Arabidopsis thaliana: one gene and its partner. The protein of the gene in region 2 interacts with the protein of the main gene of each other region in a biochemical or structural test. Each region holds a gene or a part of one and is shown on either strand. Other genes may lie near its edges.

What was found. Proteins that work in one complex are often made in the same cells at the same time.
Region 1: the proteins of WDR5a (region 2) and ATX1 form a complex in vitro, tested with the Arabidopsis thaliana proteins (one study listed by BioGRID).

What each region holds. Positions count from the first base shown.
Region 1 is NC_003071.7:13,454,941-13,465,775, reverse strand, and holds ATX1 (homologue of trithorax), read left to right. Parts: upstream 1-3,344; 5' UTR 3,345-3,594; coding exon 3,595-4,178; intron 4,179-4,333; coding exon 4,334-4,385; intron 4,386-4,486; coding exon 4,487-4,561; intron 4,562-4,664; coding exon 4,665-4,884; intron 4,885-5,035; coding exon 5,036-5,162; intron 5,163-5,269; coding exon 5,270-5,374; intron 5,375-5,528; coding exon 5,529-5,728; intron 5,729-5,848; coding exon 5,849-5,941; intron 5,942-6,055; coding exon 6,056-6,153; intron 6,154-6,245; coding exon 6,246-6,404; intron 6,405-7,200; coding exon 7,201-7,344; intron 7,345-7,426; coding exon 7,427-7,474; intron 7,475-7,595; coding exon 7,596-7,713; intron 7,714-7,787; coding exon 7,788-7,853; intron 7,854-7,964; coding exon 7,965-8,026; intron 8,027-8,125; coding exon 8,126-8,182; intron 8,183-8,275; coding exon 8,276-8,344; intron 8,345-8,459; coding exon 8,460-8,643; intron 8,644-8,945; coding exon 8,946-9,191; intron 9,192-9,389; and 11 more. Other genes in the region: SAD2 (ARM repeat superfamily protein), read right to left, coding at 26-175, 542-638, 722-857, 1,165-1,257.
Region 2 is NC_003074.8:18,410,304-18,417,531, reverse strand, and holds WDR5a (Transducin/WD40 repeat-like superfamily protein), read right to left. Parts: upstream 3,969-7,228; 5' UTR 3,843-3,968; coding exon 3,177-3,842; intron 2,597-3,176; coding exon 2,309-2,596; 3' UTR 1,819-2,308; downstream 1-1,818. UniProt on the Arabidopsis thaliana protein: Forms multiple COMPASS-like complexes involved in histone methylation by interacting with different histone H3 'Lys-4' methyltransferases such as ATX1, SDG14 or SDG16.

The sequences.
Region 1 (10,835 bases), on a different chromosome or scaffold from region 2:
ACGGAACAGAAAGTGGTGAACTTACTCATATTTTCTAGAGAGTATCCGCAACACAAACAAAGCCCCATAAATTTGTTGATTTTGCAAGTTGTACTTCACCCAATCCAGAAGACGTGGCCATTGTTCTGGGTAGTCAGCATAAATAATTGTCTTGAGAGACTCTCCAAGTTGTGATCTGGATAAGAAAATTAGGGGAAAAAAAAATTATGGTTGTTGTTGAGGCTTATAGAAGATGCTATTGGGACCAAGGTAATGAGAAAAAAATACTAACTTAAAAAAAAATCATCTTCTATCTGCCGTTTTTTAATATCTAGAACCTAAGGATAATGTAGAGACACATTCAAAGATGTATATATAAAAGAAGAGGACTATCAGCTTGAAGACAATCTATCAGACAAGATGATGAGCAATTTGTAGGCATGATTAGCCATACAGGTTACAAATATTTTCATAAAATCGCTTAAAATCAGACCACGTCAGACAGAGTTCAGCAAACCAAATGACTTGAATGATAATTCCAAAAGCTATCTGGCAAATTTACCTGAGTAAGGTTGGAACTTGGGTGACATAGACGAGAATATTGTCCCTCACCAATTCTTTGTCACTCTCAAATATCTGCTGCTGCCTTACTGCAGGACCTGCACCATCAAATATGCAAATTAATCTAAAGATCTTCCAAACGCTAAGCCGAGACAAGATAATTAGAATACAAAATTATTACCACAATCCTCAGGTGACCAGTTCTTAGCAATTAAATTTTTGAACTGAATACTAGCAATTTGACGCACTGCCATGTCACAATTTCCATCCACGGCTATCTGCAATAACCTCACCAAATGCTGGGGCGTGTGCTCCAACTGCAAGACAAAAGAATAACGAGAAACTCAGGCATCAGAAACTGCATAACTTTAATTGATCATTAGAAATAGTAAACACCACTGAAATCTGGCTACAGTGAATTAAAGCAAATAACGATTTGTTCAAAAAGAGTGGGAATCTTTGAACTATCTTCAGTAAAACCAGAAAGTGAACTTATAAGGAAACTCTATACATGAACTCAGCTCAAACTTTAAGATACTACTAGCAGAATAAGAACAATCAAACTCGCGACCAAGCAACCGTGTAAATACATCGAAAGAGAAATTGAAGTGGAAACTGAGAAACCTGATTGAGTTGCTGCTCAGAAACTTTACGCTCATCGGGAATAGGGCTAAGAGCGGCGGTTCGGAGGATCAAAGCGAGGCTATGCAGATCCATTCTCCGTGGAGTTTGAGAATCCGGACACTAAACAGAGTAAACCTTGATGACGATCAGAGGCAGTGGTTGATATTCGATTTGAAATTCCCAACCAAGAGAGAGAGCTGAATTAGAGGAGGGGAGAATCTCAGAAGAGCATGATAGGGTTTAAGAGGGACAAGAATGGCGGAGAAGAAGGAGAAGAAGATTTGATTGATAGTTGGCGAGAGTGGAGGAGAGGGACAAATAGAGCTGGACGATTTACAGTATTTAAATCCCTAGGGTTGTTTAACTAACCAAAACCACCCAATTTTGATTCTGATTGACCCGGGTCTTCTTTAGCCGGTTTATTCCGAACCGGGTCTTCTCTTACTAAATGACGTCACTGATTCTCTTACTAATTAAGTTCAGGTGAATTTGAGGGGAAAACAAATATTTTTGGACATGTATGTGTCTGAAAATGTGATTTTCCCTCTTTTTTTTTGATGAATATATAGTTTAAAATAAAAACTAACAAAGACATAAAAAAATGTTTTTCTCCTTTTAATCAAGTATGTATTATTTTATTTGTTCTGGTCATAATCCTAAGTGAGTGTGGTTGGTATTTTGATGAAAATTTAAAATTGTTCATTCCATAATATTTATGTCCAAGTATATATGGACGTAAATCATGTAAGCGATGATGAATCCCAATGTTAGATGACATCAAAGAATTTTGTGACCATAGGCCATATGTGTTGTGTAAATTTTGTGGGTATCTAGAGAAAGCCAACCAACAAACGCTATATGGATACTTTGACAATAAGTTCCATCCATCAGCTGCCAGTTTGTCCAAGTATCAAAATTTCATCCGAAAAGCTGATAAGCCGCCAATCTGCCCCAAGTATCTAGGAAACGACATATTCTAATGCCTAGTTGATGGGAAGAACTTTGGAGGTACACACATCACCTATCTTGAAGCTCATGAAAGCAAGTATTTTAACCTTACTTACTTTTAAATATATATGTCTCTAGCGTGTATAGCATCCCTATGTGGATCAATTTAGAGCACTAGTGAGCATTGTATGCTACCGCATAAGAAAATGCAACTACTGTTAACCATGATGATTACATCCTTATTAACATATATGACACACTGCAAAAGTCACTGGATGCGATCAAGTTAGCAGCGGTATTTTCCATGTGTCAAAAGCATACTAATATACTACAGTCAACCGTATATTGTTCTTTAGTTAAGTTAAGTAAAGACTACTCCTACTAGACAGATATTCGGTTTATGAATCCAAATCAAGTAATTGCTATGAATAGCCGTTCATTTAAGAATGAAGATAAGGGAAGTGAGTTGAAATGTTTCTTTTAACCTCATATCTTTACTTCAACTTATCACACCTTAAAAACTGGATTAGAGTTCCACTTGTCCGATTCATAGAAAAAATCTTGTATCTATCACAAAAATCTTTAACATATGTTTGATTATTTATCCACAAACTAAGCTTTTTAGGTTGAAATATTATATTATTCTAGAAAACTTCAGAACAATCCAAAACAAGTAATACCAAGGGAGCAAATCGTTGGAATTTCCTCACAAGAAAATTCTCTAGCTCATTTGAGAAAATAGGTAGTATTACTTGAAGAACCCCATTCAATAATTGAATTTATGAGCAATTCGGTTGATTTCTACCTTCATTCAAATTCTAGTCAATCTTGTCTTTTTGTTCCAATGGAATTTAATTTGGATTAACCAGAAAAATATGTCTTATACACTATACTTAACAGACTAAAAACCCAAAAATATACGTATGAACTGAAAAAAAACAAAACAAATTCCATGTAGTGAAGATTACACAAAAACTGGTAAACAACAATTATCTGAAAACAAAACTATATAAAAGAATCAGAGACTCTTGTTGAATTTTGCCCAAAAAAAAAAGACTCTTGTTGAAAATAAAATACATGACAACCGGGATTTTTTTTTTCTACAAGTGGAATTTTTATTTATTTTATTTTTAGTTTTATATGTTTTTATTAACCAGATATTAATTTTTATATACATACACACACACACTATATATGAATGTATGTATGCGGAGATATATAAGGAGACAGAGCAATAGATCTGAAAGACTTGTCATCATCTTAATAAACCCGGCGGGAAACGTAAAAAAGCCTTTTAGCTTCTCCCTCCAAAGGATCTGTTTTTTTCCCTTTTTCTCTGATTCTTCTTCCTAAACCCTAATTTCTCCAATCCACGAAATTCCCTAGCAATTTTTTTGGGGGTTTAGTGAAAGAAGGATAGAGAGAGTGAGCAAAGGTGTCTCCTTTACGAAGCCCTGTGCTTTCTCCCTCCGAATAATCTCCATGGCGTGTTTTTCTAACGAAACCCAGATCGAAATTGATGTCCACGATCTAGTGGAAGCTCCGATTCGCTACGATTCTATTGAGAGTATCTACTCTATTCCTTCATCGGCATTGTGCTGTGTTAATGCCGTTGGTTCTCACAGTCTGATGTCTAAGAAGGTTAAGGCCCAGAAGCTTCCGATGATTGAGCAATTCGAGATTGAAGGTAGCGGTGTTAGTGCTAGTGACGATTGTTGTCGTTCGGATGATTATAAGTTGCGGATTCAGCGTCCTGAGATTGTTCGCGTCTACTATCGTCGCCGTAAGAGGCCGCTACGGGAGTGTTTACTAGATCAGGCGGTGGCTGTGAAGACTGAAAGTGTGGAGCTTGATGAAATTGATTGTTTTGAGGAGAAGAAGAGAAGGAAGATTGGTAATTGTGAGTTGGTGAAATCGGGTATGGAGTCGATTGGTTTAAGAAGGTGTAAGGAAAACAATGCGTTTAGTGGGAATAAGCAAAATGGGTCATCCCGAAGGAAGGGGTCTTCTAGCAAGAATCAGGACAAGGCGACTCTGGCTTCTCGTTCAGCTAAGAAATGGGTCAGGTTAGGGTCTACCTATCATCTCTTTAACTGTTGAAATTCATGGACTTTGAAACTGTTGCGCTGTTGTTTTGCACTGATGATTTTCTTAGTTCAGACTTTGAAGACCTTTTATTGTTAGTGGGCAGACTCCTTATGATGGAGTTTTGATGTGGCAGGTTGAGTTATGATGGTGTGGATCCTACAAGTTTCATAGGGCTGCAATGCAAGGCGAGTGTTTTAACTAGACAATTGTCCACTTTAAGCTATTGCATTTTCCACTTTTTTTGTGAATGGGACATCTTAACAATTGGTTGTCGTTTAATCCCTAGGTTTTTTGGCCGCTGGACGCTCTTTGGTATGAAGGTTCCATTGTTGGATATAGTGCAGAGAGAAAGCGTTACACTGTAAGTAATTCTCTACTCTACTTGAGTTATGAGTTGGGTAGTTCTTTGAGCTATGATATATGTAAAAGCTTGTTCCTCTAACCATGATTAAATTCTTCCTTAGGTCAAATATAGGGATGGATGTGATGAGGATATAGTTTTTGATCGTGAAATGATCAAATTTTTGGTTTCTCGTGAAGAGATGGAGCTATTACATCTGAAGTTTTGTACTAGTAATGTGACTGTCGATGGCCGTGATTACGATGAGATGGTTGTATTGGCAGCTACTTTGGACGAATGCCAAGATTTTGAGCCTGGAGACATTGTATGGGCGAAACTAGCTGGTTTGTCTTAAACTGATTTCCACCTTTTATTCATATATTAAAAAAAATACCTCCTTATGCTATCAGCAAGTTGATGCTGTTGGAAGCATGTAGACAAAGAAAACTACCTACTGACTTCCATAGAACTGCATTTGCTTTCCTATTCGGACAGGTCATGCTATGTGGCCAGCAGTTATTGTAGACGAATCCATTATCGGAGAGCGGAAAGGTCTAAACAACAAGGTATCTGGAGGAGGATCACTCTTGGTCCAATTTTTTGGAACTCATGATTTTGCTAGGTTAGTCAGCGTTTCCTATATACTTAAAAAATCTCGTTTTTCTACTGAGATGTTGAGATCAATGTTACACATTATCAAGCTGAAGTTAACATCCTTTGGTTTTATAGAATAAAAGTAAAGCAAGCAATCTCATTTATCAAAGGGCTTCTTTCGCCATCTCACCTGAAGTGCAAACAACCTCGGTTTGAAGAGGGCATGCAGGAAGCAAAAATGCAAGTCCCTCTCGCTTTTCTTTGGCATTCTGCTTTCTTGACTTTCCAGTACATGTTGCATTAACAATTAGACCAATCATTTCTTCATGATGTTTCATTTTGAAACCTGGACATGTTACCTGTCCTGAAATTTCTGTTATTTTGCCTCACTCAGGTATCTGAAGGCACACAGGCTTCCAGAAAGAATGAGTCAACTTCAAAAGGGAGCTGATTCTGTTGATTCCGATATGGCTAATAGTACAGAAGAGGGAAACTCGGGTGGTGATCTTCTTAATGATGGAGAAGTGTGGTTGAGACCAACAGAACATGTAGACTTCCGGCATATAATAGGGGATCTGCTAATAATAAATCTTGGTAAGCCATGAAACTTATATATAAGTATGGTGTATAATCTTTCATTCTATGGTTCATTATTTATAGTTGGTTATAGGAAAACTCCAATGATAATATATAGGCGTATGACTTGTCTTACAGGAAAGGTTGTGACAGACTCTCAGTTTTTCAAGGATGAGAATCATATTTGGCCTGAAGGGTATACGGCGATGAGAAAGTTCACATCACTCACAGGTTATTTGTTAATCAGTTTTTGGCTTTTACTTATAAATCAGGTATTTTTCCATATTTGGTTAATTGTGATTAGTTCTCAATGTGATGTGGGTTGTTGCTTTTGGTTTTAAGCAGATCATAGTGCATCTGCCTTGTACAAGATGGAAGTGCTCAGAGATGCCGAGACAAAGACTCATCCGCTGTTTATAGTGACTGCAGATAGTGGAGAGCAGGTGAGTTAAACATATCTATTAGTATCTGTTTTATTGAACTTTCAGGTCAAGAATCTATCTCTGGCTAACATCGGTAACTAATTTTTTGGCAGTTCAAAGGGCCTACTCCATCGGCCTGCTGGAACAAAATATATAATAGGATAAAAAAGGTCCAGAATTCTGACAGTCCTAATATTTTGGGTGAAGAACTAAATGGATCTGGTACAGACATGTTTGGTCTCTCCAACCCAGAAGTCATTAAACTTGTACAGGTACCTTGTCATTGCATGTAAAATTATTTGTGGTGGTGTGCATGTGTTTTCATGATAATCTGCTTGCACATGCATTTTGGTCTCATAAAAATCATATAATTGTCTGGACACTGAATATTTTGTGGTACCCTTGCTTTTGCTTTATCTCTAAAACGTGTAAGCGGGTCTCATTTATGTTTAATATGAATGTTTGATGCACAAACCAAGTTTTCCTGTAAGACATTTAAGCTTGTGCACTAAATATTTCTATGCAGCTCTTTGCTAATTGGTTTATGGGTAGCCTAATTCGCTATTTCCGGTCTAAAGGCATATTAGAATCACATCTTCATCAATGAGACAACACTAACTTCACCTACGAAATAATCATTTCTGCCTAGTGACTATGGCTTCTTTTCTTTAATTGTTACGGTTTCTTTCTCTTCTGTAAGAAAACTGTATGAATTAAATTAACAGTTATTAATCGAAGCCAGCTTAACAAGTATTTACAGTGAGTTTCTAAGGATAAAATATGTGCATTTGGTCTATTGATTGAAAGAAAATTTGTGTTTAAGTGAAACTAAAGAGTAGAATTCTGTTCTGGAGTCTTTATAGCGAAACTCGTTTTGTAGGACATATTACCTTATATTATTTCATTAGGCAGATACCTATCAAGATGGTTGCTAGAATTTGCAAACTTTTATAATTAATTCCCTATGTACTGCTTGCCGGCGCCCTGTTTTATACAATTGCATTATTGTTTAGCTTCTAGTGTCTACACTTAATATGTGTCTCACCCTAATATACCATTACGTAGCAGGATTTATCAAAATCCAGACCATCGTCCCATGTTTCCATGTGCAAAAATAGTTTGGGAAGGCATCAAAATCAGCCTACTGGTTACCGACCTGTCCGTGTTGACTGGAAAGATCTCGATAAGTGCAATGTCTGCCACATGGATGAGGTAAAGGTTTTTTTTTTGTTTCACATGAGATTTCAAACGTTTCTCTTTAGTTAGTTCTGATTTATATATTTTTTGTCTGCAGGAGTATGAGAACAATTTGTTCCTGCAATGTGATAAATGTAGAATGATGGTATAGCTCATGCTCTGGGCTTTTTTAGCTATCATATACCTCTTAGATGTATATCTTTAGTGCCTTGTGCTCTTTCTTTCTCTTGGGTATGACTCAATTTGAATTCCTGGTCCACTACTAGGTCCATGCTAAATGCTATGGAGAGCTAGAACCCTGTGATGGTGCTTTGTGGTTATGCAACTTATGTCGTCCTGGTGCTCCTGATATGCCTCCACGGTGTTGTCTTTGTCCTGTAGTAGGTAATTTTACCGTACCATTTGGTGTATGGAGTCTATATGTGCTTTCATTAGTGAATAATTGAAACTTCTTTTAGGGGGTGCTATGAAGCCGACAACTGATGGTCGCTGGGCTCATCTGGCTTGTGCTATATGGATCCCAGGTTCAATCTTAACGATTTGTTGTTCTGTATAAGTCTGCTTTCCTACTAATAGGAGGCCGTATTACACTATTACTTTCCTATTTACAAATTAACACTTGTTATTTTATTCAGAAACATGTTTATCTGATGTCAAGAAGATGGAACCTATTGATGGGGTGAATAAAGTCAGCAAGGTACGTACTTATTTTCTTGTTCGGATTCCTTTACCTTGGTACTGTGGCCTTTTCAAAACTCTTATCCCTCTTCCTCTTTTTCTCTACTCTTAAAACTAGGATCGTTGGAAATTAATGTGCACCATCTGCGGGGTATCTTATGGAGCTTGTATCCAAGTAAGATTTCGTTCTATGTTAAGAGAAAACTGAATCATTCTTATGCATTGTTCAAGAGCTGATATATATAATTTTAAAATGACTACATTTCAGTGTTCAAACAATTCTTGTCGCGTGGCATATCATCCACTCTGCGCGCGAGCTGCTGGTCTCTGTGTTGAGGTACCTTAGGGAATAAAAAAAATTTCTTTCCCACTTACACACATGTACTCTAACACAGCAAGTCCACAAAAGAGATGTTTCTAACTGATTATTGCTTTCCTGACTCTCCATGTAGCTTGAGAATGACATGTCAGTGGAGGGTGAAGAAGCAGATCAGTGTATCCGCATGCTTTCATTCTGCAAGCGACATCGACAAACATCAACTGCCTGCCTAGGATCAGAAGACAGGATCAAATCCGCTACTCATAAAACTTCTGAGTATCTCCCACCACCTAATCCATCTGGCTGTGCTCGGACAGGTATGCAGCTACTGCGTTTATCTGTGGATGCTAAGATTAAAATTTAGATTCACACCACACTTTTGGGACAGGATTATTTCATCATTATTCTTTTACCTTGCATACGGCCATGTGTGTTTTGTTCTCTTTCATATTCTTACATATCCTCTTAAGATATCAGTTTCTTACTTTATATACAAGCATTTTTTAGATTTGATACAAAGGTCAAATTTCAGGCTTTTGTGTTTCCATTCTTTTCTACTTTTATTCGTGTTTGCATCCTATGGGTCAGTATAGATGATAATTTCCGTCTATTGTTGCAGAGCCTTATAATTGTTTTGGCAGAAGAGGGCGAAAGGAACCTGAAGCTCTTGCTGCTGCTTCTTCAAAGCGGTTATTTGTTGAGAATCAGCCATATGTTATTGGTGGTTACTCTAGACTTGAGTTTTCAACGTACAAAAGCATTCACGGATCCAAGGTGTCACAGATGAATACTCCAAGCAACATTCTTTCTATGGCTGAGAAATATAGATACATGAGGGAAACATACAGGAAGAGATTAGCATTTGGTAAGCATTCGTTATTCTTTAACTTTCAGTAAATCTTAAAAGATATTACAGGTCTTTTCAACTTCTGCTAAGATAAAAAATATAGTAGGATTTCTGTAGGATAAAAATAATTTGTAGGATTCCTTTCAGAATGATCTAGTCACATCCTAAGCTTCTTTCAGAAAAATCTTATAAAAGTTGGTTCTTTTTTTGTTTCAGGGAAATCAGGAATTCATGGTTTTGGCATTTTTGCAAAGCTTCCTCACAGGGCGGGAGATATGGTGAGCATACTCAACTTGAACTGGACATTTCATCTTTAGAAAGTGTCACTCATGGAAATATTGTATGATTCTTGTGCAGATGATTGAATATACCGGAGAACTTGTTAGACCGTCAATAGCTGACAAAAGAGAACAACTCATCTACAATTCAATGGTGGTACGTATTTCTGACTTAACTTACTTTCTACATTTTGATGTTATGGAGAAGATTCTATAAACAATAATGGAACAAATAGTCAGGGGATTAATCTGTACCTATTCATCATCTAAAACAGTAACTTTTTGTATTTTTCTTTTATCTTTTACTTTCTCTGTAGTATAAATCTTGGATGCGACGAATTCAATATCTGAGAAAAAACAAAATTTTCTTATGTGATAGGGTGCAGGGACTTACATGTTTAGAATCGATGATGAGCGAGTCATAGATGCTACAAGGACAGGAAGCATTGCTCACCTGATTAATCATTCATGTGTGGTATGAATATATCTGTTAATCTAATTCAATTTAGTTAGCATCTGCAAAAACTGAGCATTTTTGTCTAACTTTAATGCAGCCCAATTGCTATTCTCGAGTCATCACTGTTAATGGAGATGAGCACATTATCATATTCGCAAAGAGGCATATCCCTAAATGGGAAGAGCTGACCTATGACTATAGGTTTCACTTTGATGCCCTTTGAATCATCTGAGATATTCTATGATCATTTTCTGCCTCTGATCTTGTAATGTTTACAGGTTCTTTTCAATCGGGGAGCGCCTTTCATGTTCGTGTGGCTTCCCAGGGTGTCGAGGTGTTGTTAATGATACAGAAGCTGAAGAACAACATGCAAAAATATGTGTTCCTCGTTGTGATCTAATAGACTGGACCGCAGAATAAGCGACTAAAACTGTAGTTAGTAACAATCATCCCTTTATAATGTTGTAGCTCCTTATAATGAGAGAGCATCTGTTGTTTAGTTTTGCCACAATCCATTTTTTTGTACAGATACTAATTAGTGAGTAGTAAACTACACGGATCACAGAGTGGTAAAGCAACAGTACAATTCTCTTTTTCTTTCCTGATTTGAGTGTGCCTTAGGTTTTATCCTGATGGTGTCAATTTTTAGCAATTGGGATGCAGAGCATAATGTTTTTAACCTTACTGTCTAGTATCTCTACCTGAAACAGAGGTTTTGCAAGGATTTAAATCATTGATTTGTCCAAAGCAATATCCCTTTGGTACCAAAAACTGCATTTACACAAAGTATTTATAGTTTCGTACATTTATAAAGGCAGAGCAACTAATTGCATTTTGAGTTATTTGTGCTATGACTACTTTTCTTTGACAATTACTACAAGACAGATAACCACAGGGTTTTTCACAGAGAATACTATAGTTTTGGCA
Region 2 (7,228 bases):
GAAAACACAAATTAAAAACTTGAAAAGTCGTTTATTTAACATATATAGAAACATATGCATGTGGTGGATTTAATGAAACATGGAATTAGAAAGGAAGGGATTCAAAAACGATAATTACATGAAGAAAATGTTAATTAATTTGGAGCCTTGTTGTTTTGAAACGTGATGTTACCTAATCTTGACAAAATCCAACACTTTATTACACAGGTATACAAGTGTAATAATGCAATACCAAAGCGAACCATAAATTCAAAAAGATGTTTTAAAGATAAACCCCATAATGAATTAATTGATGATGTTGAAATGAACGGTCCTGATGTTATAATTCGACGGGAAAAGATGGAGTCCACCACTGGGGATTCACAAACTTACCAAAACTTATTGAGACACCCGCTTCTTTAACCTCTCTTAAGCAAAACGAAACACTTAATTAACCAAAGAACCCCTTAAAAAGCTTTGTAATAACATTTCTATCCTTAGGACGGACCACAACAACAAGCCCCAAGGCAATGGCATGATCGACAAAACCCAGAGAGCCGGTCTCTGTACTCTGATCGACTGATAATGACGAGAACAACCTTGAGATGACGCACGGCAACAGTTAAGATCCTCGAGAGATGGGTAGGGATACGATCGTACTTTTGATTAGTGGAAGTAAGTCAGTTAAACACAGTCCTATGTGCATCATTTTCATCTTTTGCCAGTTACCACAGTTCACTGATCAACAATAATGGTTTCCCGACATGTATTTTATTTTATTTATACTGATTTTTTATTATCTCACAAAATTATCCAATTTGATTTTGTAAGAAAGTAGGATTTCGAATCATTTGCTTCTTTTGCCAGTTACCACAGTTCACTGATCAACAATAATGGTTTGCTCAGTGAACAAACATATTAGTTTTTTTTTTTTTAATCTTGTATTAAATATGGAATCAAAATGCAAAAGAAAAAAATGAATTTTTAATGATATAGATCTAAAGAAATACTGAATGTCAAAATTTTGAAAGCAGATTTTTAGTCACATGATTAGGGAAATATGTAGCCACTAGAATAAGTCGTACTCGTATTAGGTGAATTTTTGTTTTCTTCTTTATGGACCCGGATCAATAGAATAAGTTTTCATCTGCAACGCACTTTCTTGCACTAAATAATAAACTTATATTAGTGAAAAATTTATAATAATGAAAACATTTCTTGTTTAATGGTTTACTTCGAATGATAAGAATTGGTAAGCACGTGTTAGGAAATGTATACTTTTTTGGGGAAAATGTCGAAGATATACTTTTGGATGGGTGTGTGTGTATTGCAGATTCGTTTGTTGAAGCTTGATTTCGTATTTGGTACCAAATCGAATATATTTAACCTGACTAATAGATTATTATGATAGCACTAAACCTAACAATTATTGTTTGCTACTACAATCATAAAGAATTCAATTTATACTCTTTTTGAGAGTTTTTATGTTTAATCTTATTAGCATATCTCGAGAACTTTTACACAAAAGAACCAAAGCTGAATTTTGGTCTTTGTATCAATTGGGAGAGACACAAACATGACTGAGTCTTTAGGAACTGTTGCTTTCTCTTGAATCATGTAAACAGAAAGACACGCTGTAAAAGCAAACAGCCCACTGGTGTGTAGCTAAAAGACAGAACAAAGGTCACAAAGTCATCTTTTTGTTAAAAAATTTTGGTTTCGAAATTGAAAACAAAAAAAGAGAGAGTGGGTTCAAATTTTCAAGTGGTCCATTTCAAAATCTTGTAGGGTTTAAAAAAAAGAAGACTTTACGATAAAAGTGAAAATGAAAAGTAAAAAATGGGACAGGACCAGGGGACCATAAGCTTCATCATCATGGCCAACCAAAGTAACCAACTACCATACATTATCTACTTATAGTCATATATCTGTACTTTGACCCATGAGCCACCCATCAATATGGTTCAGATGAACAATTTTCAATCCTGAAACTACTTTATAACCAATAGTATTGGTGAAGCATTGCATCAGCTTAATAGATACAATGAGTAAAGGGTAAACCTATGAAGATTTGTGTTCATTCTCTCAAATGCCTTTGCACTTGCAGGAGTCTTTGCCTTAAGACCTACCTAAATAGTTCTGAGTCACACAGAGAACTATTACAAGTTTAGAACAGTCTGTTGCACTTCCCTTACACCAAACAAAAATTAGACTTTTACATAATGAGGCTAGAATCAATCTAACAAGCTTAGTAAGCAACAGATGATTACTGCATGAAGAAGGTGGCATGTACCTACATGTTTGATTTCTGAAGAGAGAGAGTGATGATTTATTCTTTCTTCTGTGTCCAAATCCTTACTGTCTTGTCGAGCGAGCCTGATGCGATCAAGTTCTCTGTCGGGTGGCATGCTACGTTCATGACGGTCTCAGTATGACCCTCAAGTTTCTGTAGCAGTTTCTTGGAGTTTAGCTCCCACATGTGTACACAGTTGTCCTCGGATCCACTGACTATTCGCTTTCCATTTGTGACGGAGAACGCAGAGGAAATGCAATACTGTGCGTTCACGTGGCCAGTGTATGTTTTGAGGAACTTAGCAGACGAAATGTTCCACAACCTCTGCAAATTTATAACGAATCATGAGAATTCCTTTATTCAACAATACCCTATAGACGCAAACACCAAAAGAAGATGTATCTTACAACCCTCTAAATACGACCCTTCAAAAGTGTTGAATCTCGATCAATAACAGAACTGTTCCAAAGCTATCAACTTTTCCTTAACTAGATAACAATTTTTGCAAAAATAGCTTTGGATTGGCTTCTCCTACATCAAACTTCTATTAACACACAACCTAGAATCTAAGTTCATGGAGAGATGAGTGCATTAATAACGAATCATAAGAATTTAATTTCCTAATGCAAATTAATCAAACTCCAAACGACGATGTATCTTCGAAGCTACAACCCTCTAGATACGACCCTTCGAAACTCTTGAATATCAACCAACAACAGAACTATACTTAAAGCTAACAACTTCTCTGTAAACTTAGTTTTGAATTGGCTTCTCCTACATCAAACTTCTACTAACACACTCTACCCAAAATCTTCATGCTTTTTTTCGAGATCACTATAGAGCAAAACTAGTAATCACACTAAAAACATCAAATCTTTGAAAGGAATTCAACAAGTGAACTCACCAGCGTGTTATCAAGTGTACCAACGAGGATAAACTTGCCATTAGGAGAGAATCTAACAAACGAAACAGGAGGATTCTCATCATCAATCAGAGTTTTCACACAATGACCAGTCCCAGAATCCCATATACGACACAACCCATCATAGCTACTCGAAACAATGAGAGACCCATCTCTATTAAAATCAACAGCAGTAACAGGATCAGAATGCGCGGGAAGAACTTTCAAACACTTTCCAGTAGTGACATCCCAGATCCGAACAGTTTCATCAAACGAACCAGATACAATCATATTTGATTGAGGATTGAAATTGACACAGAAGGCGTAATTAGTGTGTCCAATAAGCGTCTTGATCAATGAACCAGTTTCAACGTCCCATAGCTTTAAGGTTTTGTCATCGGAAGCTGAGACTATAAACCTCGCGTCTGAAGAGAATGCAACATCGGAGATACCGTTTTCATGGCCGGTGAATTCTTGTACGGGCTCGGCGATTGGATCGTTAATGGTGTTGATTGTGTAAGTGCGGATTGTTTTGTCGGCGGAGGCGGATGCGAGGAGACGTCCATCGGAGGAGAATTTCACGGAGGAGACGGCGCGATTGTGAGATGTTAGAGTTTGTGAATGGACGTATGGAGTGAATGATGCTGTTGCTGGAATTTCCTCTGCCATGGAAATTGGTTAGCGGAATTTGAATTTGGCTGATTTTAGGGTTTTGGGAAAGGAGGCTTTGTCTAACTAAAGGAGAGAGACGACGATCCAGTGTTCTTGGAAAAACCCCGACTCTTTTAAATAAATTGTGGGGTGTGTTTTGAATGAAATAATACTATTGGGGTGTATTTAGAGTTTTCGTAAATTATATAGTTTCACGAGCGACTCACGTGCTCGCTTTCCAAGCTCAAACCTTCAGAATGATACAGAGTCTTTTGGAATGTCTTAAAATTTTAGTTCTTTCTTGCTTCGCAAATTAAATCAACAACACTCTTCATATATTGACTACCACAGTTTTAACCTAAGACTCTTTAGTTATCATGTAAGTTTGGTATGCCGTAACAATCATGGACTAGATTTTAACCCTCGGTATACCAGGGGATGATTTATTTTTTAAAAGTAATATATATTAAAATTTGCAAATTTTATTTTTATAAAATATTTATATTTTACAGTTTATAATTGTTATTAAGTAACACTATACCACGAATCCATGAGACAATTGTTAAAAAACTGAAGTTTTAACCCCTATTAAAACAACATATTAATAATATTTTAAAATTTTATAAATATTAATTCAAATACATCCACCATATAACCCAATTCCAAAATAAAACCCGTTATGTAATTTCTTTACCCGTTCCGTGATTTTTTTTTAAAGTAGTAATTTTTAAAATTTAAGAATTATTTATTCTATATAAAAGTTTTGCAAATTGTATCATTCTCTAATACATTTATATTTTATAGTTTAAGTTTATATATAGTAACATTATACATACCACATAACATTTTTGGTTTTATATAATTTTTTCTAAATTAGGATGATTTGATATGTTTAATATTAGTGGTCTTAAAAAATAATAAATTAAAGATTTAACCCGTATTGAAATGGTGGATTAATTATATTTTACTTTTTTTATTAATGTTGATTCAAAAACCCGTCCCTCCAAATCCGTCTTGCCAAAAAGCCATTTATTTTATTAATAGTAATTTTATTTATGATATGACTCTGAATTATAATCTAAACATTTTAGCTAATAACATAGGAGTATACCATATTTATTTAATAGGTGAATGTACCATATGACCCGAATGCACTTTTACCCAAATCCACCAAAAAAGTCTTGCAAAAATACTATAGACCTGAATGTACCATATTTTTTTTTGTGCTAATTTTTATGTGATTAAGATTTACTTTATTTCGTATATAAAATATTAAATTGTTTTACGAACTTAATTGTTTATAATTTGGTAATAGATAGATATTTGAATATTCAGTATATTTTGCTTTAGTTAGAAAATCTTTGATGACCCGTCTTTAAATCCAATAAGCCTATAATTAAGAGATGAATATTGTCGTTAAATGATTTTGGTAATCTTAATGTGTTATTAAAAGATTTTGTTTTTGATTAAATTTTTCTAATGGCATTGTCATGTAATTAATTACAAAAATTAAGGTTACATTTAAAATGTACTTCCCAAATAATATAGTAGGATACATCATACATATTTAATGAGTTTCAATCTTGTACTTGTGACGTTAAATTGATATTTTGGGAGTGTTATTGGTTTGTGATTTAATTTGAGTTTTATTAACTTAAAATATTATGTAAAATTTGTTGTTATCAAATTAATATTTTTAAAAGTTTGTTAAAGTTTGGTACTATTAGTTTAAAATTTGTAAAAAAAAATTTAAAATCTTCATAAATTTGGAGTTATTGGATTCATACTTTTATAAAGTCATTAAAAGTTTTGTGTTATTCAATTAAAACAAAAGAATCAATGATTGTTTAATAAATTAAATTATTGTGTTATTAGTATATAACTTTCTATATTTTTCTTCTTAAAATAAAGTCATGAAAGTATCATCAAAATAATGATATTATTTGGAAAATTTTACAAAATTGTGAGAAAATAATCAATAAGAATTAAACAACTTTCTAGCAATAGTTTAAATTAATCTTTCATTTATTTACTTTTTATAATATTATTAAGGTCATGAAAATTTCTTTAGGAACCAATAACATCTCTTTAGTATTTATTATAGACTAAACAAATCACTAACAACTAACAAGACCACTACCACCACCACCACTGCTAATTTTCTGCTAGCAATTCAACTGTTACATTTTCGTATGTTATAAATGATAAAGCTAGATATGAACGAGCACCTTATTATAATTTATGTACCATTGATGAGCCGGAAGATTCTTCGGTGAGATATAAACTTCAAGTTTTTTTTTTTTCGATAAACATACTGTTCCGTATTTATATTTTATCATAAACTTCAAGTTGAAATTTTAGAACATGCAATGCATATTAAATTGTAAATAAACTAGGTGTGAGTACCCATACTTCTATGTGGGTAGTCGTAATGCATAAATAACTAAGGATTTCATATAAAATTATGACTTCGTTGGTAATGTGCAAGATGGGCGAAATAACAAAAAATAAATAAAGAAATTTACTATATTGTAGGTTTACCAATCATAAATTATTGGAGATCATAAATCATAATATCATATCTTCACCTAGGAAAATCATTATTTAATTAATTTTGTTAAATTTTAATTATAAAGTATGATTAATTATAGTTTACCAGTCATAAATTATGATTCTGTTAAATTTAGTTCTTCCTTTATTTTTATTTTTTTGTCAGAGATTCAACTACTAAAATGTACAACTAGCATTTATTTTCTACTGTCGTTATTCCGGATTATTGCTTATAAGAACTTATACGAGTTTATACGTTTATAAACAGTGACGAAGGAGAATTGTTTGTGTAGAACTTTGGCCTTCTTCACTATATGTTGCAGTTAGATACCGTTTCTTTTTGTTTGTTAATGGGTATATATTGCTTTTGATATTGACATATTGTTGAGAATAAATAAACTTGAACTACCAAAATTATGGAGGATATCGATGTGATGTCTTTCGTAGTTATGAGTCAGTAAGGTTGGTAAAATATTTCCCTCTTTTAGATGAAATCAGACTCGATTGAATCTTTCTTTTTATAAATGTAGAATGCTTATTTATAGTATTTACTTTTATTGAATGTTGGAATACCGGATGAACCAACTAACCATGACAAAAAAATTTGTAATCTAGCGATTTTTAAGCATCTTCTCATTCGTGTGTAAATGAATTATTGGAAAGAAGCTTATCATAAATGATTTCCCGATTTCTATCTTCAACCGAACTACATCCAAACTATTCTGGCTAAACTTTTTCTAGGCCTAATAGATTACACAATCCGAATGATCCAATATTCGGAAGAAACTGGACAGAGCTAAATTTATGCTTAGGCCTAAGACCATCTCTATTGTATTTTTCTATTTTTGATTCTG